Linked DNA regions of Neodiprion lecontei. The protein of the gene in region 1 purifies or fractionates together with the protein of each later gene. This does not show direct contact. Links are inferred from orthologs where the notes say so. Each region holds a gene or a part of one and is shown on either strand. Other genes may lie near its edges.

Region 1 (7,902 bases):
ATGATTCCTTGCCTTTATCGCATCACCGTTTGCGCGTGTATGCGTGTTTCTACAGTATTTCTTTGAAGTGCAATAATCACGTTAAGTGGGGAAATAAACTAACTTACAATTTGTTGGAAATATCTTACTATCTATTCATTCAAATTCATCGAATTTCTCAACAAATTTTCTTCGGTATAAATGTATGCGCAAACTTGCTTAATTGCATGCGTAATATGGCTTTGAGGAAATAATCTTGAGCTTTTCTTATATGTTATACCGTTGTTTTCCAACTTGCTCCATCAGAACTGTGAACAATACACGTCTTTGCATGAGAATTTATCCCCCCCGAAATCTCTTGTCCCTCTATTATGGACCAGATGTTCTGCTATAGACACATAATATACATATCAGAATAGCAACTTATCTGTATGGGGTCCGTAAAAAGGTTCAGTATACATATAGGGCATTCCATTCCAACTTGACCACAATTCAACCCTGAGCCTCTTGATTACATTAATATTTTTGTATCATTTCCGCTTTACCAATTCACATTTTTTTTGCTGTTTCAACTACTATTTACTTATAATTGGGGGGTAATAAAACACGGGGGTATTGAAAAAATTGTCAAGCAATATTTTTCTAATCAAGTAGATCAACGTTGTTTTAAACATACAAATATTTTCTATTTTTTCAGACAACACGAGTCTTGGAATTTATTTACAATGTTTTGACATGTTTTATTATATTTCATGACATATGTTATTTACATGTTACTTTACTGCTATTACCTTCGACTTGTTTTCACTCAACGCTGAGATACCCTGATTAATTTCCAGGCATTGCCAGATATTTCGTCAATGCTTACCACTTGCGAAATATTGATAAAATATGAATCAAAAATTAGCGATGAAAATATCTCGTAATTTATCGGATGAATTATTTCTTACCCAAGGAAGCGGGGACTGTGATCAAAATAATCAAGGCGAGCTTGATTTCTATTTTATTAGCTGATCACTGTAGTTGCACTTTTTAACTGGACACGTTGTTCAATAGTTTACCGATTTTTGGTCAAACGGACCTCTAATACGATCCCTAGCTTCAGTTTACAATTCAACACGTTTGCACATCCTGCAAATTCGTATCTATGACTGTAATCATATTTCCTGTACAATTATTGAGAATGCGACGGTTAAAATAAGGAGAATAAGATATGATTCTTTTGAAACATATGTAAATATATTTTATTTCATGATAATTCGATCCGGAAATTTTATTACCAAATATCCCCTTTCGGTGCACATAACAAAGCTTAAAATTACTTTCGTAAACAAAGCATAATCATTGTATCTTTGACCATACTTGGACTTACAAATTAGGTACTGTTTAGTTAGTCTTTTGATTAAAAAAATAGCAGTCCCGACTTCTATTTTAGCACATGATATAGGTTGTGGAAGTAAAATAAAAAATGTACACAGGATATTTTATTTTATTTATACTGCAGTTTATTTTAATTAAGACCCGGATCTTTACTAATATTATTTTAAATACAAATGTTAGCTGTCCAGCAAACGCTGCGTTCAGAGCTAACTCGCAATACGCACTGCGCCGATCTACCTGCCGGTACGCTACTGCTCAGCCTACACACACACACATACGTACTATACCTACTCTTACCTGTGACATAAACAGAATATACATATACAACTAATATCGACGTTCAATTTATATTTCAACAGCACAATTAGACAGTTATAATTGATTAAACAATATTTTTTCATTTCAGTAATGCGTATCTACGCAGTCACGCCAGCAGTTTTGTCTTCCTTGGCGATAAATCTATCCAGGATAGCTTCGCTAGGATAATCAGGCACGGAGAGTTGCCTGAAGCCCTCGTCGTCGACGAAGCAAATCTCGTGGCCATCCTGAAAGATGAATGGTTCAAACGAGTCCATATTGATTCAAGGTAAACTCACTGCGCTAATGCAATAACATTCGCAAAATTCGAATCCTCGACAAACGATTCTATTTATCAAAACAAAGAAATTACCGGATCGGCAAGAATGACGACAGTAACGCTAGCTTTTCCTGGCGTATCAAGCTTTACAAGATCTGTGAGAATCTTTTGGTTTGCTTCCTTTACAGTCTGATTAAGGCGCAGCAGGTTCTCGTATGGAATTGAAAATGCGATCCGCCCATAACCCTTTGCATGTGTCACCTCAGTCCCTGGAAATCATCCACCACTTTATAGTCCCAAATCTCAGAACTTACGATCTGTGACTGTGTTAAATTAAACCCAGAATGGCCGGCCGTCTCACCAATATCCTCAAACTCAAGCTCGGTCTGATTGTGGCCGAATCCTAATAGAACTTTGCGATCATCTTGCTTGTAGACTCTCAAGCCGAGAATATTCTTCCAATATGCAATTGTACGTTCTAGATTGGAACTGGATAGGGTGACCTTCTCGACCGGATCTGAAAGCGATGACGAGGTGGTAAATATCACAAGTTTATAAGCAGAGAGACATGCTAGACCGATGCGTAAACTAAAAGTAAATCAGATAGTATAAGAATCTGTATCAGGGAAAAATACAGAGCTCTATATTCCCGTTACCTCTATCAGCAGGCTGCGGTTCGTCAATAACGTAGTACTTGTAACCACCCGGTGCTTCAAGCACGAATTTCCCATCCTCCTCTCGCACCGGCCATCCTGAAGACCTTGCTCTTTCAATCGCTTCCTTGGATCTAATCGTTATCCCTTTAAAGTCATTGCCTCTTTCGTAAGAATCAATACCGTAGTTGTACGTCAGTTCGACAACAAAGTGATCGTCCTCAGGCCCGTAGCCGACCATAGTTTTGCTCCAGCGATTGGCGTAGGGCCTATAAATTTGGTAAAAATAAAAATGACGGTGGACAAAGAAATTATCGTACTGAAAATGATAGCGAGGATCGTAATTTATATGAGAAAGAACAATTGATGGAAAAGGAAAGGGACTGTCTTCAGACTAGGTTTATATTTTTTAGTCAACAGCTAACCCGTTGCAAGCAGCTTCGCAACCGTCCGAGAATTCCTCGTGTCTCAGAACCTGGAATACAAAGAGAGAAAAAAAAAAATCAATGCCCATATTTCTGTGTATAGAAAAATGAAATAAAACAAATGTATGGCAGGGTCCTTTCGTCCCTAGTTACGGTACTGTGAAAATTTCAAACGTGATAAAGGGCTGCAGGGTGTTTCGAAATTAATAGAAAACGGATTTAAGATGTGAACGACGCTATAGCGATGAGAAAAAATCTATTTGTATTATATAAAATGTAACTGGTGTGCAATAAGATAATCATAATAATTGACGTATCAAAATTATGTTTTCAACGTTTATGCAATGGCCGTGATTGTAAAATACCTGTAACAATGAATTGATAAATTCTAACCTTCATTCCGAGTATTTCGCGGTAGAATCTTGCAGTCAGTTTACGTTCACCAATTTTGAACACGAAATGAAGGGCGCGAGCGTTTACCATTATTGTTGGTAAAATATTCAATTTAACGATTTCGAATTTATCTTCACAATATTTTCTTCGTGCTTTCGCTTTTCTTCAACAAGATTGACGCACTGGGGAGATACCGGCTCGTCCTTATGACGTGTGAGCGATTTTTCTGGTCTATTCGATCATTTCGACCGCTGACAAGTGGTTTTTCCTCGAGGGTATAATTGCCATTGTTGTTATCGACGAGATGGTTCTAAAGCGCTCAAAGAATTCTAACCACAGTCGAGGTCACCGTTACAGACGTGCTTCATTATGGATATATACATTTACTGAGACAGTGTGTTAATTGCGCTGATATGTAATATCAGTGGTTAATTGTTGTTGAAAACAATCAGATAGAAATACACGTTCCATTTCGTAGACGCGCGTATCTCGTTCTTAATCGCACGTTGTACTAGCTTTTATTAGACAATTAATGCTCGTCTGATATCTTTCGCTGAATCCTTATCGCATGAGAGATTTCGAAATGGGTTTCTAATCTGTAATAAATTCCGATCGTAATCTATTCATGTTGCATAAACTCTCAGCTGTTCGTAATTGCCGCCGTTTCGTTCAGCCCGCAATTCGTAATTGTTCCTGGATGTTTGCAGCTGTTCCCCGGCAAACTTCACGCTTATATTCACTCCGTAATGTCCGAAGGGAAGCTTCGTGAGAAGCTTGAATGGTCCTCGCAAAAAAAACTCCGGAAATTCGCTGTATGATTGATCCGCACACGAAAAAGTAATAATACGTATTTAAATATAATCAGCTTCTTTAACAGTCCAGAATCCCAGCGTTCCGTCGTTCGCGGTAATTCGCTGTCATCTTCACGACGATGATCGAAAACATGCCAAGCATTGGCGGTGCATTACGACGATACCCAACCTAATACAACCCAACTCAACCCGAAAGCCTGAAAGACGCTATTGTCAAGTAGTATGATATACCATACAAAAAATAGTAAAGTTTAATTTTTCACGCTCCACAAAAGCAGCAATGGTGTCCTGCGACGAGATTAAATCCGAGTGGATATCAGTGTCGAGTAACAAAGGAGCGGAAAATGATGACTCGATTATTTTTACCGAGCAATTCGTGAATAAGGTGCAACACTTCAGCTCACAGTACGGAAGTGATAAAAGCATATCCTACACGGCGTACAACATAGCTGGTAACCCGAGCAAGTTTCCCGACTATGGTGATTTTCCTCAGGCATTTGTCATGGTAAGACATCATTTGCCGGTATAATTCTCATCCGCTTAACCTCAGTATCTCTGTAATCTGTTATAATTATTTCTAGAGAACGTACGGCTGCTGGTGGGACAAGGCGCCATCCAGACTAGTTGATTACATGCCGCAGAACAATGACAATGTCGTCTGCCAGGACTACATAGGTATGGAGACCACAACAACAACAATGACGATCCATATTCTTTATTACTGATAATTGAACCCTGTTACAGATGTGGCGTACGATCGTGAGGTTTATCCAATCAGAGTGTCCATATATGAGACTTATAACCCGGGCAGCGTTGTTGGAATTTGGGCTGCCGATAGCAGCGGAAAGTGGAGCCGTCTTTGGAGAGGGCTGCCGCAGGTAGTTTCACACAAGCCAAGGATATTTTCTCCCCCTCTACAGCCATGCTGTTTCAAGACCAAGATGCTTAGACTGGAGTTCAACCACAGTAAGCAGGACTATTACACAGAGCTGGATGCCGTCCTCCTCATCGGCACTTCGGAATTTATTCAACCCCACTTTAGATTCAACAATAAAAACTTGAGCACCTTGCTTCGGCAGCTCAACGACAGTACCCTTGATTGCGATGACGTTTATAATCTGACGCCAGATTATTTACAGACACACAAAGATTTAAGGGAGCTGAAAAACACGTTTTACAAGCACTGTCAACTCTCGAACAGGTATGTGATCCAGTTTTGCACCGTGTTTCTCGTCATTTCCAAACTCGAACTGGCAAACTTTTGATTTTGCAGAAATGTTACGGGTAGGATACACAAGGGGACCATAATTGACAGGCTAGGAACTGACTACCACTGCATACCGCCAATCGAAGAAGCAGTTAGCAGTCTGCACAGGTTTCTCCAGGAAGACTTTCCAAAATTGATGCAGGACATCGATCTTTCAACTTCCTCAAGAAGTGCAGTGGCTGGAAACAAGACTGGGAGTTCGTTACAGTCGGGTGATATTTGCGGCAGTTTTTCTGTGTTGCCCGTAAGCGTTTTTTCCGTTTTAATACATTTCTTAATAGAACAGTAATGAAATAAATTAGCCACAAATTTTTAGTATAATTCAATTACAAGCATTTATTTCACAAACCTGCAGGACGAAGCGGTACTGAAGATTCTTAGAAATCTCGATCTCAGATCTCTCTGTCGCTGTTGTCAAGTTAATCGGCATTTCAACAATATAGCAAGAGATGCACTTCTCTATACCAGCCTAAACTTGAAACCATATTGGTACTGTATTGACACAAGCGCGCTTGAAACGCTGGCCTCGAGGTGCCAATATCTTCAGCGTCTAGATCTCTCCTGGTGCGGCAACTACAACACGATAACATCTAAAGACATTCAGGAATTTCTCACGTCCAGCGGAAATCAGTTGACGCACCTTAGATTCAATTCCTGCCAGTTTGTCAACAATTCCGTGATACTGAAGGTTTCCATGATCTGCCGAAACCTAAAAGGTATTTACGTTTTCATCTCTCAATCGTAAAAGATTAATTGACCGTTATCGTTCGACGCACAGAACTTTGCCTTCGCAACTGCGTGGAGATAACTAAGGACGGATTTTGGCCTCTGGCAAACCTGCAGCAGCTCGAACGTCTCGAACTTTACAGAACGTTGATTCAGACGCCGTCGCTGTGCGCGATTCTTAAGGGAAATCGAGGCATGCGCCACCTGAACCTTGCCGCTTGCGACCACGTTCATAACATGGACGATATCGCGATGGAGGTTGCCTACTCGTGTCCTCACCTCGAAAGCGTTGATTTCTGGAAGAGCCATAGCCTGACGCCCCACGGAGTTAGAGCCCTCGCTCGTTGCACGATGCTTAGAGAGGTCGACTTCGGATGGTGGTTAGTATGAAGGAGAATTTTTTAAAAAACGGGAACTTCGAAGTTTGACTAATTTCAGCCTAGGCATGGGAGCTCCAGGGGAGTCGCTAAGAGCATTGGCTGCGTCCTGTCAGAATCTGGAGAAGGTCTTTCTCGCTGCTCTTCGCGGCCTCACCGATCGTGACCTCGAGCCGTTTTTAGCCTGCTCTAAACTCAGACAGTTGGATTTCCTTGGCGCAAGATCTCTTACTCCCGAAATATGTCTACGATTTTTATTATATTGCACTCAGCTGGAAATGATGGATCTCAGCTTTTGCGAAGGTATAAGCGATATGAAGATACACGAATGGCGTCAGCTTTATCCTCATGTATCTATTAAGCGTAGTTTTCAAGCAAGTGGATCGGTTTTTACATAGTTCATCGATGTTATTGCTCTGTTCGTCCGTTTATCAGTTGCTTTTTTTTTTTGACCATGTCACCTTGCAATAGTCCGAAATTCCCGTCTTTACAACGTATAACCATTGGAGTTTTGTCGGATGGTCTGCTTGGTTTTTTCCCTTGTAGATCAGTTCCATTTTCGGTGACATTTTACATCTTTGCACCAGGAAATCATTTGAAAAACGAATTTTCACTAGCTTGCGAAATCGACTTGGATTAATAAATTTTGGTGGACGAGTGACGATGCGTCGGGGAATATTTTATTAGAAGGTGACTCGAAATTTTTCAGCAAGCAACAACAACCTCTTCCGGTTTATTGTTTTATTCGTATAAAGATTGTTTTATTATTATTTATTATCGTGACATTATTGATAGACGCGAGTATATTTTATAATCGTTAATTTTTATCAAGTCTACACTGTATCTCCTTGAAAAACTTTTCTCTGGGATGATAAGCAATATACATCATCACTATTAAGAATGATTAGGATATTCTACATATTTAGTTCAAATTTGAAGTGTCGAATTGCCGTGGTGTCATATTATCTTCATATTAGCTCACGTTCTTCTAAGCTTGAGATCTTCGTTCGAGTAGATATACCTATGTGAGTACATGCGTATGGAGTAGTGCGTACTTAAGAGCAGAGTTCTTTCCGTCCAAAAGACTGATCAAACATGTGCTTTTTTTCCACTCTTCGAAGCAATCGTTCCTGCATCATGTGACTGAAAAAAGATCCACAGACACGATATAAAATTGTACATATCAAACGCAGCTAATATAATAAATCTGGAAAACAATTGTACCTCTGGGGCCTTAGAAAAAAAAAATATGGTGTCTGTACACTGACAAAACATAAAAATACACTGTGGTATTAATTGAATGATATATCTAA
Region 2 (4,996 bases), on another chromosome or scaffold:
ACTTGTGGCAGTAGACCAAGCGGCAGAGTTTTGATTTCTCTGATGCTGCCTTTCCTCCTCCAACATAGCTTCCAGGCATTCTTCCATCAACTCCTCCTCTTCGAGCTGCTGTAGTACCTGCAAAATGATTTATTTGCTATGATACCCCAAACTTGTCACCAATTCCAAAAAGTTAGTGTTTCTTAGTTTTCCTTGGTTATAGTTTTTATTTCAAACACTGTACATATAAAACGTTCATGAATCGAATTGTAACTTTCAGAATCGACAAACGAGAAACGATTTTAAGAGTTACAAACCAACTACAGAACCTTGAATCATTCCATCCGATTTTTAAAATTCAAGTACCTGTTTGTCAAATTCTTCTTCGTTCTCCATCCACATATATTCGGAAAAGTCTCCATCTCCTGCAGCCTGGACATCGGCCTCGGTCTCGACAGTATCAAGATATGAGATAACCCCACTATCATGGCCATAATAGCCGTTCCCTGAACCACCGGTTGGAATCTTCATTTTCATGCCAGTTTTGTATTCAACACTGAAACACATTATTTTAACACTGACAATAAGATGCTACTATAGAGTTTTAATTTTTTAGGTTTCACGCGTTTGCGCGTCTGAATTTGAATTTAAGCTGAAAGAATAGTCGATTGTAACTAATCAGTTATTGAAAACGAAATCTATCAAGATCATTCAAAGCCCAGTAATTCACGGGAACAAACGACCGACCGTACGACGAAATTAAATGGACTGATGTGTAATTCCATTCGCAATTGTGTGGCAATATTAGAAACCGTTCGCGTAGCAGAGGAGGGGAATATGCGAAGGAGGCCAGGCGGTTCTCTCCGTCTATCTGAACGCTGAAAAAATACGAGCAAAAAGTTCGACAATGATCCGATTGGAGACGGTGACCGTGTAATAATTATTTTCGAAAGGTTGCTGACCAAATTCAACCTTGAGTATTCCCGATTCACCTTGGATGCCTTGCAGACGCCTTCATTGAAAACAAAAAAAAACACTGAGAAGTTGCATCGCGTAATAAGAAAAATATAAGGCTACAGCTGTGAGAGTGAATAATTTACGCACATATCTTTGCATTCACGGACGCGCTTGTGCATTTACACATGTATACGTATGGATATAACTTATGGCAATGCACAAAACTGATATTCGGTTGGATAAAAATACTGAAGAATAGTTTACCATCAATTTAGTACCGAAACTCAATGAATACCCAAAATTTAGCACAGTTTAGTCTACCGATTCATATTAAAACGAAATAACCAACGAATATCACTTGACAGATCAACTAAGAAGCAACCATTTTTCACTGTTTCGCTCGCAGCAATCGCAGAGTTGAACACATTTTTGTTATTCGCGATTTAACTGAGAATTATTGACATGTTATATGCAATTCCATCACATGTATAATCGTTATGCGTCTGATAATTAATCTGCCACGTACCTTACAATCCGTTCCTCAAAATATCTCGTCTAAAATACGAATTACGCAGTTATTCAGGTAAAATACGTGTCATAAAGCGTGAATTAGCGGTGCAGCGTATCCGTACGGTGCTGCCACCTATGTATTAACGAACGAAAACCGCACGAAGCATTACACGAATTGGGGACAACAAGTTAGTCACAACAAGTATCGCGTGCGACTTATTCAACAACGTTGAATAAACAGACGTTGACAATTAATCCCAACGGATGAATTTTGAGCCGTTCTAAAATCGAGCCGGGGGCTGACGGCGTTGAAAGGGCGAAACGCTCCAATCGAGACTCTGCGCCAATCACTGTAGTATATTTACGTTGGAACGAGACCGCTGATTGGCCGACCGTCTGACGTCTGTGGTGTTGACATTTTATCAAAACAAAGCAGCAGCTCCGGTCGTCTTTGCTCCCGCTTACGCTGGCTGGCATTTTACCGTAGGAATTCGTGCCGCGAGCGTGCGGTCTCTCCGATCCGTTGGTATATCGTTTGATAGAATTTGGTGGTGCCTTCAGTTGTCTGTTTTATAATTGATAATAACTTCGAGGAGTCTGTTGTGTCTCCAGGATGTCGTCAACGGCGAAGTTTACCTCCGACGATCTGCTCGGTGGTGAGTAATGCAAAACCAATCCTCACGATCACCTGTGAAATCAAACGACTAATGAACGCCACACAGCAGCTGTCAGTAGCATACATACGTTGATCACACGCAGCCATTTCCCCTGCTCTCGAACCGCACGTAAACAAATCGGAGATATTCCTTTTTCTCCTTCAATATACCTACGCTTTATTAATATTCAATTTACTGTTTACGTTCAGTTGCTACCACCGCGATGTTTCTTTTTTCTTTTCCTTTCTATCATTTATGTTTTTTTTTTTATTTACATCGGACGTACGGGTAAATCGATATCAGAATTTGCGTGCTTCTCCCACGCATGTAATTGCGTCTTAAAATAGGCTGGATTCGAAGGGACAAAAAAAAGTATCCAGTTAAAGTTTCTTCGCGTCGCACACCTTGTCTGAAATTCAATCCGGCAAAATTGTCTGTTGAATAATGTTAGCGTACGTAGACGAGTATTTGTGGTACGATCGTCGAAGCGACGCAAATAGTAATGGAATATGATTAAATGGCTATGTAAATTAATCTCATACCTACAAGTTAGATGTATAGTATATATGCGCACGATTAAAATATGTACTTAACAAAGAATATCGGCTCGTTACCTGGAACCTTGACGAATGAATCCCGAAACTTTAACTCTTCTCTATTTTGCCTACAGACCAGCATCTTATGCGTTATGAAAAAAAAAACCATACATCGAGATCACTGCTCTTAGAATCGCTTGTATTTGCCTACGTCTCAACGTTCATCCCACGTCTCGCGTTTTATAATTTCTATACAACCGCTAAAGTCGAATAAAACGCTTCGCTGTGTACGATTTCATTCCTCGCTGCTGCAACAAGTACACACACAACATACATACATACGTTTACGTTACATTCAACCCGCCTTGTTTTGGAGAGACTGAGCTTCGGAACATCAATAAACCCACGTTCTAACTCGCATTCGTTTTCTGCGTCGTTCGCCGCTCATGACTCGACTTGTTCGGACAAGAAGAAATGAAATTCGAATTCTACTGCGTTGTAGGAAAATGGCAACGCGCTTATCAGTCGCGCTACGTTTTAGCCAAGCGTGAACTAGGAATAGCGTGTTGTGTAATTAAATCCGGCTAAGAATTTGCGGTCGCTTTCTTTGTGGAGTTTAATGTTGGGTATTTTTTCGGCTGTATAGATAAGGCATACAATCTAGAAACTAATCGTTTCAAATGTTTCGCTTGCGGGCATTGATTCGGTTGTGCTTGAGTAACAGCGTAGATGGGTAGTTGCCGTTATATGATTACAAATTTTTGTCGCTAATGAATCCTCGACGAACGATAATATACCAGACGGACGATAATATACCAGACGGACGTTGCGTTTCATTTCGCTCATCGATACATCAAAAAGTCATAATATAATTATAAAATAATGATACCTAGATTTGAGAGGTAAGAACAATCACTCTATTGCTTCTGGTAAAATTCCTAAGCCGTATTCCTATGTACGGATATAATCTTTTGACGCATCTCGGCTTGATGCGTAATTTCAGCGTGGCAAAATGACGAGAAATAATATTCAATAAAAAAATGCGCAACACGCGAAGATAAAGAAAAGAGAAAATCGTGTATGTATTTATACACTATACGAGCATAATGAAGAAAGAAAGAATGAAAATAAAGAAGGTGCTGACGCATCGAGAATCGGAAGACACGACGCTGTTGGACGTCACTGAATCATCAGATTCGTTGAGAATCTATACTTATCGTACATATGTACATATTTGTATATGCTCACGTATGCCTGGGTAGAATCGTTGATAATTACGATAAGAACGCGATCAATGCTGCAGCACACTTGAGACAATCGATTGAAAAATACTAAAAGGAAGGACGAATTATCTGTCAATTTATTTTATGCTTGCAACCCGACGTCGATTTTTCTGCTCAGCAATATCACAATACATAATATATATACAGACACTTCAGTTTTCCATATCGCACGGCTCTCGGGTCAATTTTCCGTGTGTATAATTATAATACATACAATATACTTGTAACAGATGTAGGTATCCGTATATTTGTTGCAGAAAAAATAAGAGCAACTTCCGATGGATACGGATTTTTGCAGTGCAATAAACAAGTGACGTTGATAATTAATACGCGATCGGTTTGTATTCCTCTATTCTCCCTGTCTGGTTATTACAGAAGCAAAATTATTTCTTCCAATACGCGTATATCCACTAATTCAACGAGATATTTTGACAGAATTATTCACAATTTCCTCATACGTTGAATTGAGTGTTTTACGATCGTTAAAATTTGAAATTTTATATTTAGAATCTAACGATCGGTTCATTTATCGCTACAGTGTACTCTCTCAAAATCCCCCCCCGGCCGAAGTTTACAAGGATGAAGTTAGTAACATTGTTGCAATGATTTAATTATCGGAAAAACCGTTACTTCACAATTGCAGCAAGATCTGAAATGCAGTAAATCACAATACGGCGAAACTTATTCATATTTTGAAGATTTAACTACTTCAAGGTCACTATAAAATTTCAAAATAGTAATCCCTACCCCCCAATGTTTCGTTACCTTAACCATACTGACTTCATCCTCATCCAGTTTTATGAGTTTGAAGCACAATTCTCTCAACAAATGCAATAATGGTTCTGTCATTTTTTTTACCAGACAAAGTTATTCCCATTTAAGACGTTTGAATGGGTAATTATGTATTGACAAAAAAAAAAATTAAAAAACGCATATGCTAATGAAATATTGCTAGAGAAGTATTTTTCCAGGTTTAAATCAAATGAGATGGGAGTCTAATAACCGATGTAAACGATGTATCCGTGCTTGCATGAAAGGCTCGGCTGGCCCTAATGAGAGAGTTTGCGACTTTTCC

Evidence for each region.
Region 2: the proteins of F-box/LRR-repeat protein 4 (region 1) and BCL2/adenovirus E1B 19 kDa protein-interacting protein 3 purify together in Homo sapiens (affinity purification with western blotting; 4 studies listed by BioGRID, with this or other methods). This does not show direct contact. The link is inferred for Neodiprion lecontei from reciprocal best matches to the Homo sapiens genes FBXL4 and BNIP3.

What each region holds. Positions count from the first base shown.
Region 1 is NC_060266.1:964,531-972,432, reverse strand, and holds F-box/LRR-repeat protein 4, read left to right. Parts: upstream 1-1,904; 5' UTR 1,905-1,911; coding exon 1,912-1,945; intron 1,946-2,029; coding exon of another isoform or gene 2,030-2,205; intron 2,206-2,297; coding exon of another isoform or gene 2,298-2,453; exon of another isoform or gene 2,454-2,473; intron 2,474-2,592; coding exon of another isoform or gene 2,593-2,858; intron 2,859-3,014; coding exon of another isoform or gene 3,015-3,064; intron 3,065-3,407; coding exon of another isoform or gene 3,408-3,497; exon of another isoform or gene 3,498-3,801; intron 3,802-4,114; exon of another isoform or gene 4,115-4,244; intron 4,245-4,494; coding exon 4,495-4,724; intron 4,725-4,800; coding exon 4,801-4,894; intron 4,895-4,963; coding exon 4,964-5,420; intron 5,421-5,492; coding exon 5,493-5,730; intron 5,731-5,841; coding exon 5,842-6,202; intron 6,203-6,264; coding exon 6,265-6,592; intron 6,593-6,650; coding exon 6,651-6,987; 3' UTR 6,988-7,890; downstream 7,891-7,902. Other genes in the region: glyoxalase domain-containing protein 4, read right to left, coding at 1,776-1,904, 2,030-2,205, 2,298-2,453, 2,593-2,858, 3,015-3,064, 3,408-3,497. UniProt on the Homo sapiens protein: Substrate-recognition component of the mitochondria-localized SCF-FBXL4 ubiquitin E3 ligase complex that plays a role in the restriction of mitophagy by controlling the degradation of BNIP3 and NIX mitophagy receptors.
Region 2 is NC_060265.1:18,583,724-18,588,719, forward strand, and holds the start of BCL2/adenovirus E1B 19 kDa protein-interacting protein 3, read left to right. Parts: upstream 1-1,966; 5' UTR 1,967-2,059; coding exon 2,060-2,102; intron 2,103-4,996. Other genes in the region: polyadenylate-binding protein-interacting protein 2, read right to left, coding at 1-117, 346-535, 1,812-1,864. UniProt on the Homo sapiens protein: Apoptosis-inducing protein that can overcome BCL2 suppression. May play a role in repartitioning calcium between the two major intracellular calcium stores in association with BCL2.